2 linked regions of the Arabidopsis thaliana genome follow. The protein of the gene in region 2 interacts with the protein of the main gene of each other region in a pairwise test. Each region holds a gene or a part of one and is shown on either strand. Other genes may lie near its edges.

Evidence for each region.
Region 1: the proteins of AT4G24100 (region 2) and AT2G24020 interact in a two-hybrid assay, tested with the Arabidopsis thaliana proteins (one large-scale study listed by BioGRID).

The regions. Positions count from the first base shown.
Region 1 is NC_003071.7:10,216,956-10,221,055, forward strand, and holds AT2G24020 (Putative BCR, YbaB family COG0718), read right to left. Parts: upstream 2,514-4,100; 5' UTR 2,315-2,513; coding exon 2,254-2,314; intron 2,031-2,253; coding exon 1,888-2,030; intron 1,751-1,887; coding exon 1,650-1,750; intron 1,559-1,649; coding exon 1,519-1,558; intron 1,297-1,518; coding exon 1,225-1,296; intron 1,138-1,224; coding exon 1,081-1,137; intron 989-1,080; coding exon 914-988; 3' UTR 746-913; downstream 1-745. Other genes in the region: scpl23 (serine carboxypeptidase-like 23), read left to right, coding at 1-195, 263-368, 441-587; AT2G24030 (zinc ion binding / nucleic acid binding protein), read right to left, coding at 3,228-3,929, 4,039-4,100. UniProt on the Arabidopsis thaliana protein: Participates with ALB4 in thylakoid protein targeting. May function with specific subset of thylakoidal proteins. Binds to DNA and alters its conformation. May be involved in regulation of gene expression, nucleoid organization and DNA protection.
Region 2 is NC_003075.7:12,512,918-12,520,566, reverse strand, and holds AT4G24100 (Protein kinase superfamily protein), read right to left. Parts: upstream 5,586-7,649; 5' UTR 5,517-5,585; coding exon 5,494-5,516; exon of another isoform or gene 5,370-5,493; coding exon 5,126-5,369; intron 5,014-5,125; coding exon 4,759-5,013; intron 4,678-4,758; coding exon 4,553-4,677; intron 4,463-4,552; coding exon 4,418-4,462; intron 4,182-4,417; coding exon 4,100-4,181; intron 4,008-4,099; coding exon 3,939-4,007; intron 3,821-3,938; coding exon 3,650-3,820; intron 3,569-3,649; coding exon 3,503-3,568; intron 3,415-3,502; coding exon 3,346-3,414; intron 3,241-3,345; coding exon 3,172-3,240; intron 3,069-3,171; coding exon 2,791-3,068; intron 2,688-2,790; coding exon 2,566-2,687; intron 2,475-2,565; coding exon 2,383-2,474; intron 2,312-2,382; coding exon 2,273-2,311; intron 2,192-2,272; coding exon 2,135-2,191; intron 2,058-2,134; coding exon 1,950-2,057; intron 1,861-1,949; coding exon 1,809-1,860; intron 1,722-1,808; coding exon 1,669-1,721; intron 1,587-1,668; and 7 more. Other genes in the region: AT4G24110 (NADP-specific glutamate dehydrogenase), read left to right, coding at 1-557; AT4G24090 (homer protein), read right to left, coding at 6,100-6,278, 6,629-6,989, 7,439-7,649.

The sequences.
Region 1 (4,100 bases), on a different chromosome or scaffold from region 2:
TACCGAAAGCTACGCTGAGATATATTACAACCGTCCTGATGTGCAACGAGCTATGCACGCTAATCTTACCTCCATTCCTTATAAGTGGACATTGTGCAATATGGTTGTGAATAACAACTGGAAAGATTCCGAGTTTTCAATGTTGCCGATATACAAGGAACTCACTGCCGCTGGTTTGAGGATCTGGGTCTTTAGGTAAACCATGAAACTAGCTGCAAGTAAAGTACCTTTCGTGTCCTTTAACCACATTTTGTTGATGTAGTGGCGATACAGACGCAGTGGTTCCAGTGACTGGGACTCGACTTGCCCTCAGTAAACTCAATCTTCCGGTGAAAACTCCCTGGTACCCTTGGTACTCCGAAAAGCAGGTAATTTTCATCAAATTCGTGGTTCTATTCTTATTATGCAGAGCTAGTGATTTCTCATGGTGGTGGTGTCAGGTGGGAGGATGGACAGAGGTATATGAGGGGCTTACCTTTGCGACGATAAGAGGGGCGGGCCACGAAGTGCCGGTGTTGCAACCCGAGCGTGCTCTCACTCTTTTAAGATCGTTCTTGGCCGGCAAAGAGCTTCCAAGATCTTATTAGTCACACACATAAGATAGAAGGCTCCCTCCAAAACCCGAGTTAACTCGGTGTTTTCTTTTGAAATTTTTATGTTTCAAATCAACTTGATTTCATAAGACACTAAAAGCATTCTTGTATTCGAAGAAGATATATGTTGATACTAGAACAATTGTGTTGATACCTTGGGAATAAAATTGCAGAAAACCAAAAGTTTCAAATCTTTTATATATAATTCCATAAGAGTAGAGTACAAAGCTCTTTGCTTCTGCCTGACTGATATACAAACAAACAAAAAAAGCCGAACCTCTCATACCTGAAAGTTGAAATGAAACAACAAAAACAGCTTCTTACTTCATTCCTTCGCTGAGACCCGGTGGCATTCCTAAGCTCTGCGCAAGGTCACTCATTCTCTCTTTCATAGCCTGTGAAAAAATTCACAAAGTTCAATTAGAAGAAATGGATAGAAACAAATACTTTAGTTGCATTGTGATAAATGGTCTGCAAATTGCTATACCACCACACTCTTGGCGTGTGCGTCCTTGTATGCTTCTGTGACAAGTTGTGATAGTTTCTGCCAAAGGAAAACACACAACATCAACAAGAGAAACTGATGAATTAGCTTTGACTGTTCCATAACAAGGTACGTATGGTTACTCACTTCGGAACCTAGTTCCATTGCTGCCTCGGTAATATCAGTACGGATTGGTTGCTGGTTACCTGATAACGTAACCTGACACAAATTCATAAGGTTTAGGTCATCAGACTTTGTAACAGAAACAATAAAGACTAAACAAAGTTTTGAGATTCTAGAGTGGAGTTCTTGCCAAATCATCCAAAGACTAACAAATCAGAAAACACAGTTCTTACATCATCAAGTAAACGTTAGTTAATACTTCACTGATCTATTATGTGCATTGATCTATCTTAAGGCCAAAACAAGCTCTAAACTGACCTTGACAAGCTCGCCTGCACAATAACCATCAAATTCTGCGCTGCGAAATTGGAACAAAACCAACATGCAAAACTCATTACTCATAGAAGAAAACTTCCTCAAATTTTGTATGATAAATGTGCCGGACTTACGCAGCTAACTCTTTTTGAACACGTACAGCTTCCACTTGAACAACCATTTGAGCTTTCTTCACAGTCTCATACATATTCTGCATATTACCAAATATTCCTGCCTAGGAAAGATCACACACAAACTTCATTAGTTCCAAAATCATAAACTTTGAATCTTTACAACATGAAGCCTAACTTAAAATGTTCACCTATTGCAGAATCTGTTTGATATTTGAAAAAACCAATGTAATGTACCAACCTTTGATTGTCCATCTTCACTGTTATTATCTTTGTTTCCACCTCCAAATAATCCATTCACTCGAAGAGACCTGTAACCATTTTTAGACTTGTACTGCTTTGGCCATGTTCTTCTCTGCGAATTCAAGCTCGCATTTCCTGAAACTATTCAAACCAAAAAATTACTAAAGCCCATTTCAATCCCAAAAACACTTATAAATACAAAATTACGCTTCAATTCCTCCAATTATGGAATAGAAAAGTCTAATTACGAAAGATTAAGCAAATTCAGATGAAACCTAATGTACGACAGATACATAAAGACTCAAAATCCAGTGTCACGAAACCTTAAGCGAGAGATAGAAGTAGGGATTTAGGAGAGACTAACCATGAGAGAATGGAAAGAGCATAGATTTGGTGAAATTGGTGGTTGCAGCCATCGACGCCATTGTTGTACGAGTAGAGAGATATTAGAGAAGGGCTTTTTTTCTGAAATTCGAGAAGATAAAACCGGAAGCTAATTTTTTCCGGGCAACTTGTTCGTAGCTTCTGTGTTTGTTGAAGCTTTTAACCAATGATTTTGCGCCACGTCACTTTAACTCTTTTTTTGAGCTTAGATTGTTTTTGTACCATTCTTTTCTAGTGAAGAAGTCGCAACTTTAAAGTTTATACACTTTCAGTACGAAATTGAGTGATCAAACGTAAAATGTTCTTACATCAGATATTGATTCGATTTTCGAAAAATTCAATTTCTAGTATAGATGAAACTTTATCAGAGATTGTAACATGCTTCATTAAACCAAAAAAAAAAAAAAACATGCTACAATAGAACCATCTTTCGTGGTTCTATGTATGGGACATGGTCATATGTGTTGTGGTCTTGTGGAGCTGTATTGCGAGAAGAACTATTGATTGATTGTGGAGTTGTCTATATACCCTCTATGTATAGAGAGACTCACCCCAAACATTTGAAATACCTCTAGGCAAACCATTTTGGGCCTCTCCTGAAAGAAGACATTTATCATCGTATCATGTCCAAACAAACATACTCTGCTTGTACAGTTGTAAGTTTGTAAAACATATGATAAAAGCATAAGACAACACACACTCCAAAATGCAATCATGATCTATACACTTATTCTGGTCTCTCTAATGGCATTGGTTATTATTCTCATGATTCTCAATCTCACAACAAAAAAAACATCATGCAAATCTCCTACTGTCACATTGCATAAGAAAAAATAAAAATAAATTCATGAATTCAATCTCTGATTCCTCATGGTATATTGTCATGACCTAACAAAGGTTTTTTTGGTAAAAAAAGTTGATATAAAATAATCTAACAAAGTTACAAAGAATCTTCTATGACTTCTCCAAGCAATGAACCTTACCTTGTGTATCATCCATTGCTAGAGATACTGATTCTTTCTGTCCTGGATCAGCATTCAGAGATCTCACTGGGACTGTAATGAGTTTATTCTGCTGTTTCTCAAGCAAAGCCATGTGTTTTTTCCCAAGCGTATGATTCCTCATCGTCTGCTCAGAATTCGTCTGAATATTACAAGTTTTGCACCAAACCGTTTCCTTCTTTTTCTTCTCACCTTTTGTCTTCTTTCCCGTTGTTTCTTTCGCCGCAATTTCATCTACTTTTTGACCCTGCGGATTAGCATTTTCACATACTCTAATGGCTTCTGGTTGCGGTGCTGTAACGGAAGCAGGGGATAAGGAGGTTGAAGCAGCTTCAGGTGTCTCATTCTGTTGTGTAACAGCAGCCTTATGCTTTTTACCTAACTCATGATCCCTCATGACTATTTGACAATAGGTCCCAACTTTACAAATCTCACACCAAAACTTCTGGTTAGTTCTTAGCTTACCTTCTGCTTTCTTTCCACTGCCAAGTTTCCCTGAACAAGGAACCTTCGAAGAGACTATTTCTCCGGTTTCCAAAGACATCGCCTTTGCTTCTGATTCTTTTGCTTTCGGCCTTTTCACTTGAAGATCTTCGTTCAAACCAGTTTGAATATCCTCTGCTTTACGCTTTTCTCCTACAGGATCAGCTCTAGCCTGCAATAGTAATCAAAGAGAACACATATGGTCAGGATTTGTTATAAGCAAGTAAGGAAAGTACGTGGATAGAAAAGATGAGATATCACACTCGTAGTAAAACACTTACCAATACAATAAACTGCTCTTTGTTAGACTCCAAAACTGATGTTCCTGTAGCCTCAGGCATTT
Region 2 (7,649 bases):
TGACGCTTCACAGAGTCGTGAAAGGAGGAGACGTGATTTACGGGTCAAGAGAACGTGTTCGGGTCTGGGAAGGGATCCGCTTCGAGGTGTACATGAGTGAGGAGAGGGTGATAAAAGGTATTTTCAGAAAAGACGAAGGAGACAAGTGGAAACTTGAGTGCGAGTGTGAGATGGAAGAGGAAGGAGCGGCGGAAGTTGTTGTTGCGGCGGAGGGACACGTGGCAACAGCGACGATGGCGAGGAAACATAGAAGAAGGAGAAAGCAAAAGATTGGGTTTGAGTGTTTGGAGGAGATACCGGAGGAGAGAGAGGAAGGGAGGGATTCTGACGGCGGCGTGTGTTTTTGCACGTGTAGCGGCGAATCTGACGACGGAGAGGGAGAGTGGGAAGAGGTGGAATGGACGGCTGAGATGGAGTCTGAGACAGAAGGAATGGGATGGGCCGTAGATTTGGGGATTTGGGTTATGTGTTTGGGTGTGGGCTATTTAGTGTCTAAAGCCTCTACCAAAACCTTGACAAGTGGGAGAAGAAGAAGGACAAGAAGAACCTTCTTCTAATTCCTTGTGTAATCAATCAATCAGTGTAATTGTACAATAACGTTGGAACATAAATGTAAAAAAACCATGATTTTGATTACAATAGTCGAGAGTTCATTTTTCTTCGAACATAGAGCAATGAACTTTCTAGTTTCAAATTTTCAATTGAATCCTCTCAACTTGAAAAAATAAGGTAAAACCAGAAGATAATGTTTAAGAATGTGATGAAAACACAAAAGTACATCAATCAATTTGCATTTACAAATTACAATACACAAAGAACCCAAAAGAAGAGCTTTCTCCTTTATCTCACTAGTAAATTATGATACACCAAACAAAATAAAACAAAAAATGATCAAAACGTGTGATAATAAATATATAAGCAAATATATGTGGGGTTGAGACCCCCCAAAGGAACTTTCTTCTCCTTTTCTTTTATTTCTGTATTCGTTTCTGTTGTCTTCAACTAGTAGTTTACATCAGAAGCAGACATCGGTCGTATCTTGTTTTAGTCGTCATTGTCATCGTCTGGAACCTACACTGAACCCAACTAAAGAAATTGATATGCTCTATGCCTCACTGTCTCTAAGCTCTTGTCTGGTTATTACTGTTATAACCAAAAGAGACTTCACTCTTTCTCCTACAGGTTCTGTGCAGTTCAGTGTTTCCAGTGTCGCTTTCCCTCTGGTTACACTTAGTGTTCGCGACCCGTGAATGCTTTCAATTTCTGTTGCAGCTGTACACACAAACATAAACGAAAGATTTGCTTGATGACACGAAACACAACAAGCAGATTATTGCGTTTTAACGAGTTGAAAATGTGTTAACTTACTTGGCTGTATTTTGATTTCTCTATATCGAGTTCCTCCGTTAAGTCGTCCAGCCTGAAGATTTTGGCAGTTAAAGCTTGCAGGAAGATCCACTTAGAAAGACTAACTACATTATTCTTTAGAAACAAAAGCTTTGCTTGAAGAAGAGGACTAACCTAGCACGGAGGTCGGAGATACTGCTAAGAAGTAACCTCTCCCTCTCTGAAGCCACAGGTTCAACCTGTTATCCATAGTAATAGTTACATAGCTGTGAGCAATATCTTTATGAAAGTTTTCAGAACATATATGAAAAATCAACTTACGTTTCCATTACTGTCTGAGCGAGGCAAAGGTGGTAACTTCCCAGATTGAGAACCTATAAGAAAGATGAAGGCACCGTTACTGAATAGTCTTCAATCAATAATAAAGTCACAGCAGATTGAAGTATAATTGTCTATACTACCTTCTGTTGCCTCCACGGGTTGTAAGCTATTTAGTAAATTCATAATAAGATCCTGCAGCGAAATCATTCAATTGCAGAAGTTAAGATCCTGCTAATTAATTAATAAGAGATAAGTCTCATGTCTTAATGGATGTTCCTCACCTGTTGTATTGAGTTTTGCTGGAATAGATGTTGAAGTTGAGGCATGATGGGTGAGGAAGACGTAGGATGGCTACTATGCTCCTTGATCGTCTGAGGCTGAGCTGTTGGCTGCAAGATAGAAATAAGACTAAGATTAAGATACAGAAATGAATGACTTGAAGGACACTTTGTGATCGCAAACTGACCATTTTGGGCTCAAGTATCCAGTTACCCACACTTGCAGATTTTCTCAGGGGGGTCGCCTGGAATTATGTATAATTTATCAGGTAACTAACAAAGGTGAAGAACCAGTCTACAGTAATAAGCAGAGACAAGAAACCAACCTGTGGAGATCGACGAGGGACTATACTTAATGGAACATCCTAGAGTAGATTGTATTGTTAGTTACCGTCAAAGAAATAGGAAAATTAATAGCAGTAAATTAAATACCAACCTTCGCAAGATCTACATTTCCTGATGTTACTGAAAATCGTCCTTTCTGAACCAGATTAGCCTTTGACTTATCATCCAGAGAATCACGGAATCCTATTCGAAATGGACAAAACCTTTAACTCAACTGCAAGAGAAGCAATAAAACCACTAAGCTGGACGAAGACTGCCTATATCACTTGCTCACCTCCTGAGTATTTGATGGGAGCAGACAAACTGTTTGAAGAAGCACGGGTTGAAAGATTCAAAGGACCACTAAAGCTGGGTGCTCTTCGGACTGTTGGTGCCGTCTGCGGTTCACTCTCGGATCTAGCAGATAGAAAATTAACAAGTTGGATTGTTTGAAAGGTACTATATATAGGACAAGCAGATTTAAAGTGTAGTCTCAAACAGCAATTAGCAAATGTCAAACCTTTCAAAGATATGACTTTTCTCTGAAGCCGAGTGGCTTAATACAGTCCTGCTTGTAAGTGGTCCACTCTGACTTTGGCGTCTTAATGGCTTAACCTTGGCCTCGGGAATGTCATGCTCTGAATTTGGTGACATTCGTTCTAAAGAAGAAGTAGTTGTAACGAAAGTGAATTTCTCTTTGCAGGTTGGTTCTTCCACCTCAGTATTGGAAACCTTTTCTTTTCCGTTCATGTTTTCATATAGTTGCAGACTATCAAATACTTGCTCTCTGTCATTCACCTGCAGGGATTTTCTAAGATATGTTCAGACAACCAAACTTGCATACCAAGGAAGTGAAATTTTATAGATGCATTTTTCTGAACTTTATCTACATAGTACTCGCCTTATTAAACTGTGCACATAATATTTCTTCATCTTCCTTACTCTCTTCTAGATCATCATCATCAATTAACTAGTACACAAACAAACAATATAAAAACAGGGATTATGTGATGAAACCAATGAACAGAAATTTAAGGATAGTGCAATCACAGATAGCTTGCGAGAAGTAAATTACCAAAGATGCTTGTGTTTTCAAGTCTCTGACGTCAAAGTTCCAAGCGCTCACTCCTCTTTGGTATTCGCTCTGACATTAAAAATATTGTTTTATGCCCACTCTGCAATTCGACTCATTAAGTATTTAGGTAATGTTGTCAATATAAGGGGTGTGTCACCTGTGATATAGCTTCCTCGTCAGCAGTGGCCATTCTCTTTAATGCAAGCTGTTGAGCATCCTTATCCTGTCATATAACAACCCGATACAAAAGGTAAGAACATCATCACTTCCACAAAAAAGCTGAAACACAAAGAGCATGGCTAACCTGAAGAGATTTTACACGTGTCCAAAGAGGTGGTAAATCGGAAAATAAAATTTTCACAGTTTGCTCTGGAGGCTTCGTGTGTTTGAAACAGGAGTGCTTCAGCAGTTTTTCAGCAGTTGGCCTTTTTGTTTGATCTTTCACCAAACACATTGCAACCATTTCTTTAAAGGACTGGGCACAACTGAAAGTCCTCTAGTTAGTTTAGTAAAAATTTATTGCAAATGAAAAAACAGAAAATCTAGCAAAACTAGAACAGCATAAGAAATACACCTAGAAAGAACACGAGTACCTTAGAAAATTTCTTATCACGGTCATAATCAAGGCCAGGAGGTGCGTTTTGAATAGTCATTAGGAGCACCTGTAACCAGGGAAAAAAGAAAAGAATCAGAACCGTTTTAATAGATGCAAAATATACACATAAGCCGAAAAAGAGAAAGAAATACTAAGCACCTTCATGGGAGGATATTTTGAGAAAGGTGCATGACCATGGGCCAATTCAAGTGCTGTTATACCAAATGACCAGATATCAGCCCTGTTAAGAAATGAGAAGAACAACCAACCAATAAGCAATTATTGCATTTCTTTGTTCCACAGTACAAATATAACTGATATGCATCACCAAGCAAATATGTTTACATTCGGATTAGAGGCAGAGTAGTTTGACAAGTTGTCTTAACATACATACATACCAAAGTACGCTACTTTCTATCTTAGACAAGCAGAAAATATAAACGTTTTATCTAGTATTTGAGCTTAAAGTAAACTCACTTGGAATTGTATCCATTTCCCGGCTGCAAAACTTCCGGTGCCATCCTACAAAACAGAAGCAAAGAGGTTAAATGTAAACCATTGAATCTAAGAGTGATGGTTAAAATACAAAAAGAAAGAAGTTAAATAACTAACCAGCAAGGAGTACCAACAAATGTGTTTCTAGCACGTTGCCTATCACCGTTATCAAACAAGCAAGCAGAGACACCAAAATCGCCAAGCTTAATCTCACCATTGTCATCAAGAAGTATGTTTCCAGCCTAAGTTGCAAAGAAACAACAAATTTTGAATATATTACATACATGGATCCATGAAGCTGAATTTTTTTCACTTTCACTAACCTTAACATCCCGATGGATATGGCCTTGTCTATGAAGATAATCAAGAGCTTTAAGAGTTTCTTTTAATACACAACATATAGCAGACTCTTCAAATCCGTCTGAATACGCAGTCTTCATAAGATGCAAACACGAACCTTGAGCCATGAATGGCATAACAACCCAAAGACTATGGTCGACAGAGAATGAACAAAACGACTTTATAACGTTGGGATGGTCTATCAAACTCATAGTCTGAGATTCCCTCCTAATATCATCCTATCAACCAAAACAAAAACAAAAATACATTAAATTCATAAAACAAGAGATCTACGACAAAAGCTAAAGCCTCTCTAATTCATAAGCAATAATAAGATGGAGGAAAACGAACCAGATTGCTATTGCAGCGATCGAGATCCAAACACTTGATGGCGACGACTTCATTAGTAGGGAGATAGATCGCTCGATAGACAACAGCGCTAGCTCCATGGCCTATTTCTTCCATTAGCTTATAGTCTTTAGGATTCATAGAGAAACCTCTCTGCTGCTTACTACTACCACTACCACTACCACCACCACGACCACTACTACCTCCTCCTCCTCCCACCATCTTCTTCCGTCGCTTTAAAACCGCCCTGAATACCACCAAAAATCAGAAACCAGTAATTTCGCCTTCAGATACAACAAATCAAATGAATTTAACACAGAAGAAGAAGAAACAAAATCTGGAGCTGAGAGAGATAGAGACTAGTAGTTTACTCGAGAACAAGTCGAAACCCCATTGAAATTGGATACTAATTTTTTAATTTTTTGTATAGAAAAATAATAATTCAGCTGTTTTTCACTTTCTGCTTGCTATATTTTTCTGATCAGTTGACCTCCACGACAAAACGCGATTTGAGAGCGATCGAAAGACAAAAGAACTGTTTTGTGCTGACGTGGTATATCTGTAAGCTTCTAAGATTATTACACGTGGCTTTACTATAAATAATGAATGGCTAGGAATGGCCTTGACCCCATCTACCTCTTTGGTTAAGTTCACAAGTCACTAATCACTTCATCACTTGACAAAGATAAATATTCCTCATAACTTTTTATACAAAGTTAAAAGAAAGAATTATCCCAACTGATTCATTTTTTATAGCAAAATTTGAATTATGTATGGATTCATCATTCTAAATTCAATATTCCTTATGATCATGCTTTTAAAATCAGGTGTAACTTTTTTTGTGACAAGTTAAAGATCATAAAAATCTAGGATGAAACATTTACATTTTAGACCAAAATTAATAATATAAAAAAAAACAAATAAAGTCTTCAAAAGAAGATTTTGTTCATTTCTACATTTTTAATTTGCTCTTCAATCTAGTCAGAGCTAGGAAATGGTCTTAAGAGCTTCATCTTGAAACAGAAGTCCAAACCTATGGACGCAAACGCAAATATCAAGACGCTCTGAGACACCAAAACGGCGCCGTCTATCCCATGTGAAAACAAGCTTTCCCAGCTCAGCTCCAATGGCGGTCCTCTGCTCAACATACCAAGTCCTATATAACACATTAAAAAAAATCGAATCTATAATAAATCTGTTTTTAAAAAAAGACAGATCCAAATAATACAGGTCAGAGACTAATAATCAACTCATCAATTATTTAGAATAAATCAAATCGTTGATTAGTAATCTATTACTGGCAGATTATAATTTAAAAACAACCAAAGGGCGGGACAACGATGGGAACTTTGCCAGCTCATACTTCCACACAATATATAACATGACAAAGACAAAGAAAGTCTTTTTCTTTTACCATTTCTGTTAAGCTTATTCAATCACAAAACGCAATTGCTTTTGAACAATTCAAAGAAGTTAGATAGAAACAGTAATCAAATGTGTTGTTACCTTTAACAAACCCAAAAGCTGCAACGGCTCCGGATTTGAGATGATTATCATCCAAGTCTCTTCTGACTGCATACCTGAATGTGACTCCAAACAATGCACAGCTTGCAAACGCTATTCCCAGGGGCAGAACAAGCTGCTCCATGCTTGCGACTTGAGAAAGAGCAAATGGGAGTTCCGCAATGGTCCCAACCGCAGCTGCGATCACTGCCGCTTTTGCAGATTCTAACCTCTCCTTGTCTTTATCAATCGAATAACCTTTCTCCGAACTTCCAATTGTCGAGTTATCTGCTAATGACAAGGAGCGTTCTGCTTCCTCAACCATTGATCTTGCTGCGTCAATCTCCTGCTGGCATTCTGCAATCTTGAATCAGATATTGAATAAGATTAACATGCTCTGTCTACAAATACAAAACCAAACTAGAGACTTTGTTCCAAAACACGAGAAAACACAAAATGCAACCAAACTCATGATTTAGTTAGTAACCTTATCTAATGAAGTACCTTCACACAAACTAAGAGAAACCCCATTTCCAGGTTTCAAGCACAAAAGCAACACCATTGATATTGATTGATACTTTGAATTACCTATCCTATCCTAAGCATACAATGCACAACTTGAGCTTATCCTGGCATATAAATATATACTGCACAAATTCACTAGTCCATTGTAATATAAACCAATCATTCTCAATGCAACCTTAATCTATACTCTATAGTAGAACCTCCCAAAAACCTCAAATTCCAAAGAGCAAAAGAATCAAATGTTCAATCATTTTCATATCTAACACCATTTCGAGAACAAGCTCTCACCTCTGCGGCTCTTGATTCGAGCTGATTAATATAATCCTGTAGCAATTTCGCCTCAATTTCTTGTCTCTCTATATCTTCGAGCTCTCTCTTCGCAATCTCCACTCTCAACGAAGCTTTTTCCAGACCATCAAGCAAACCTTTGTTCTCTTCTCTGCTCAATAGCTCCTCCACTTGATTTCCCACAATACCGGACAGAGAATTCTTCAAATCT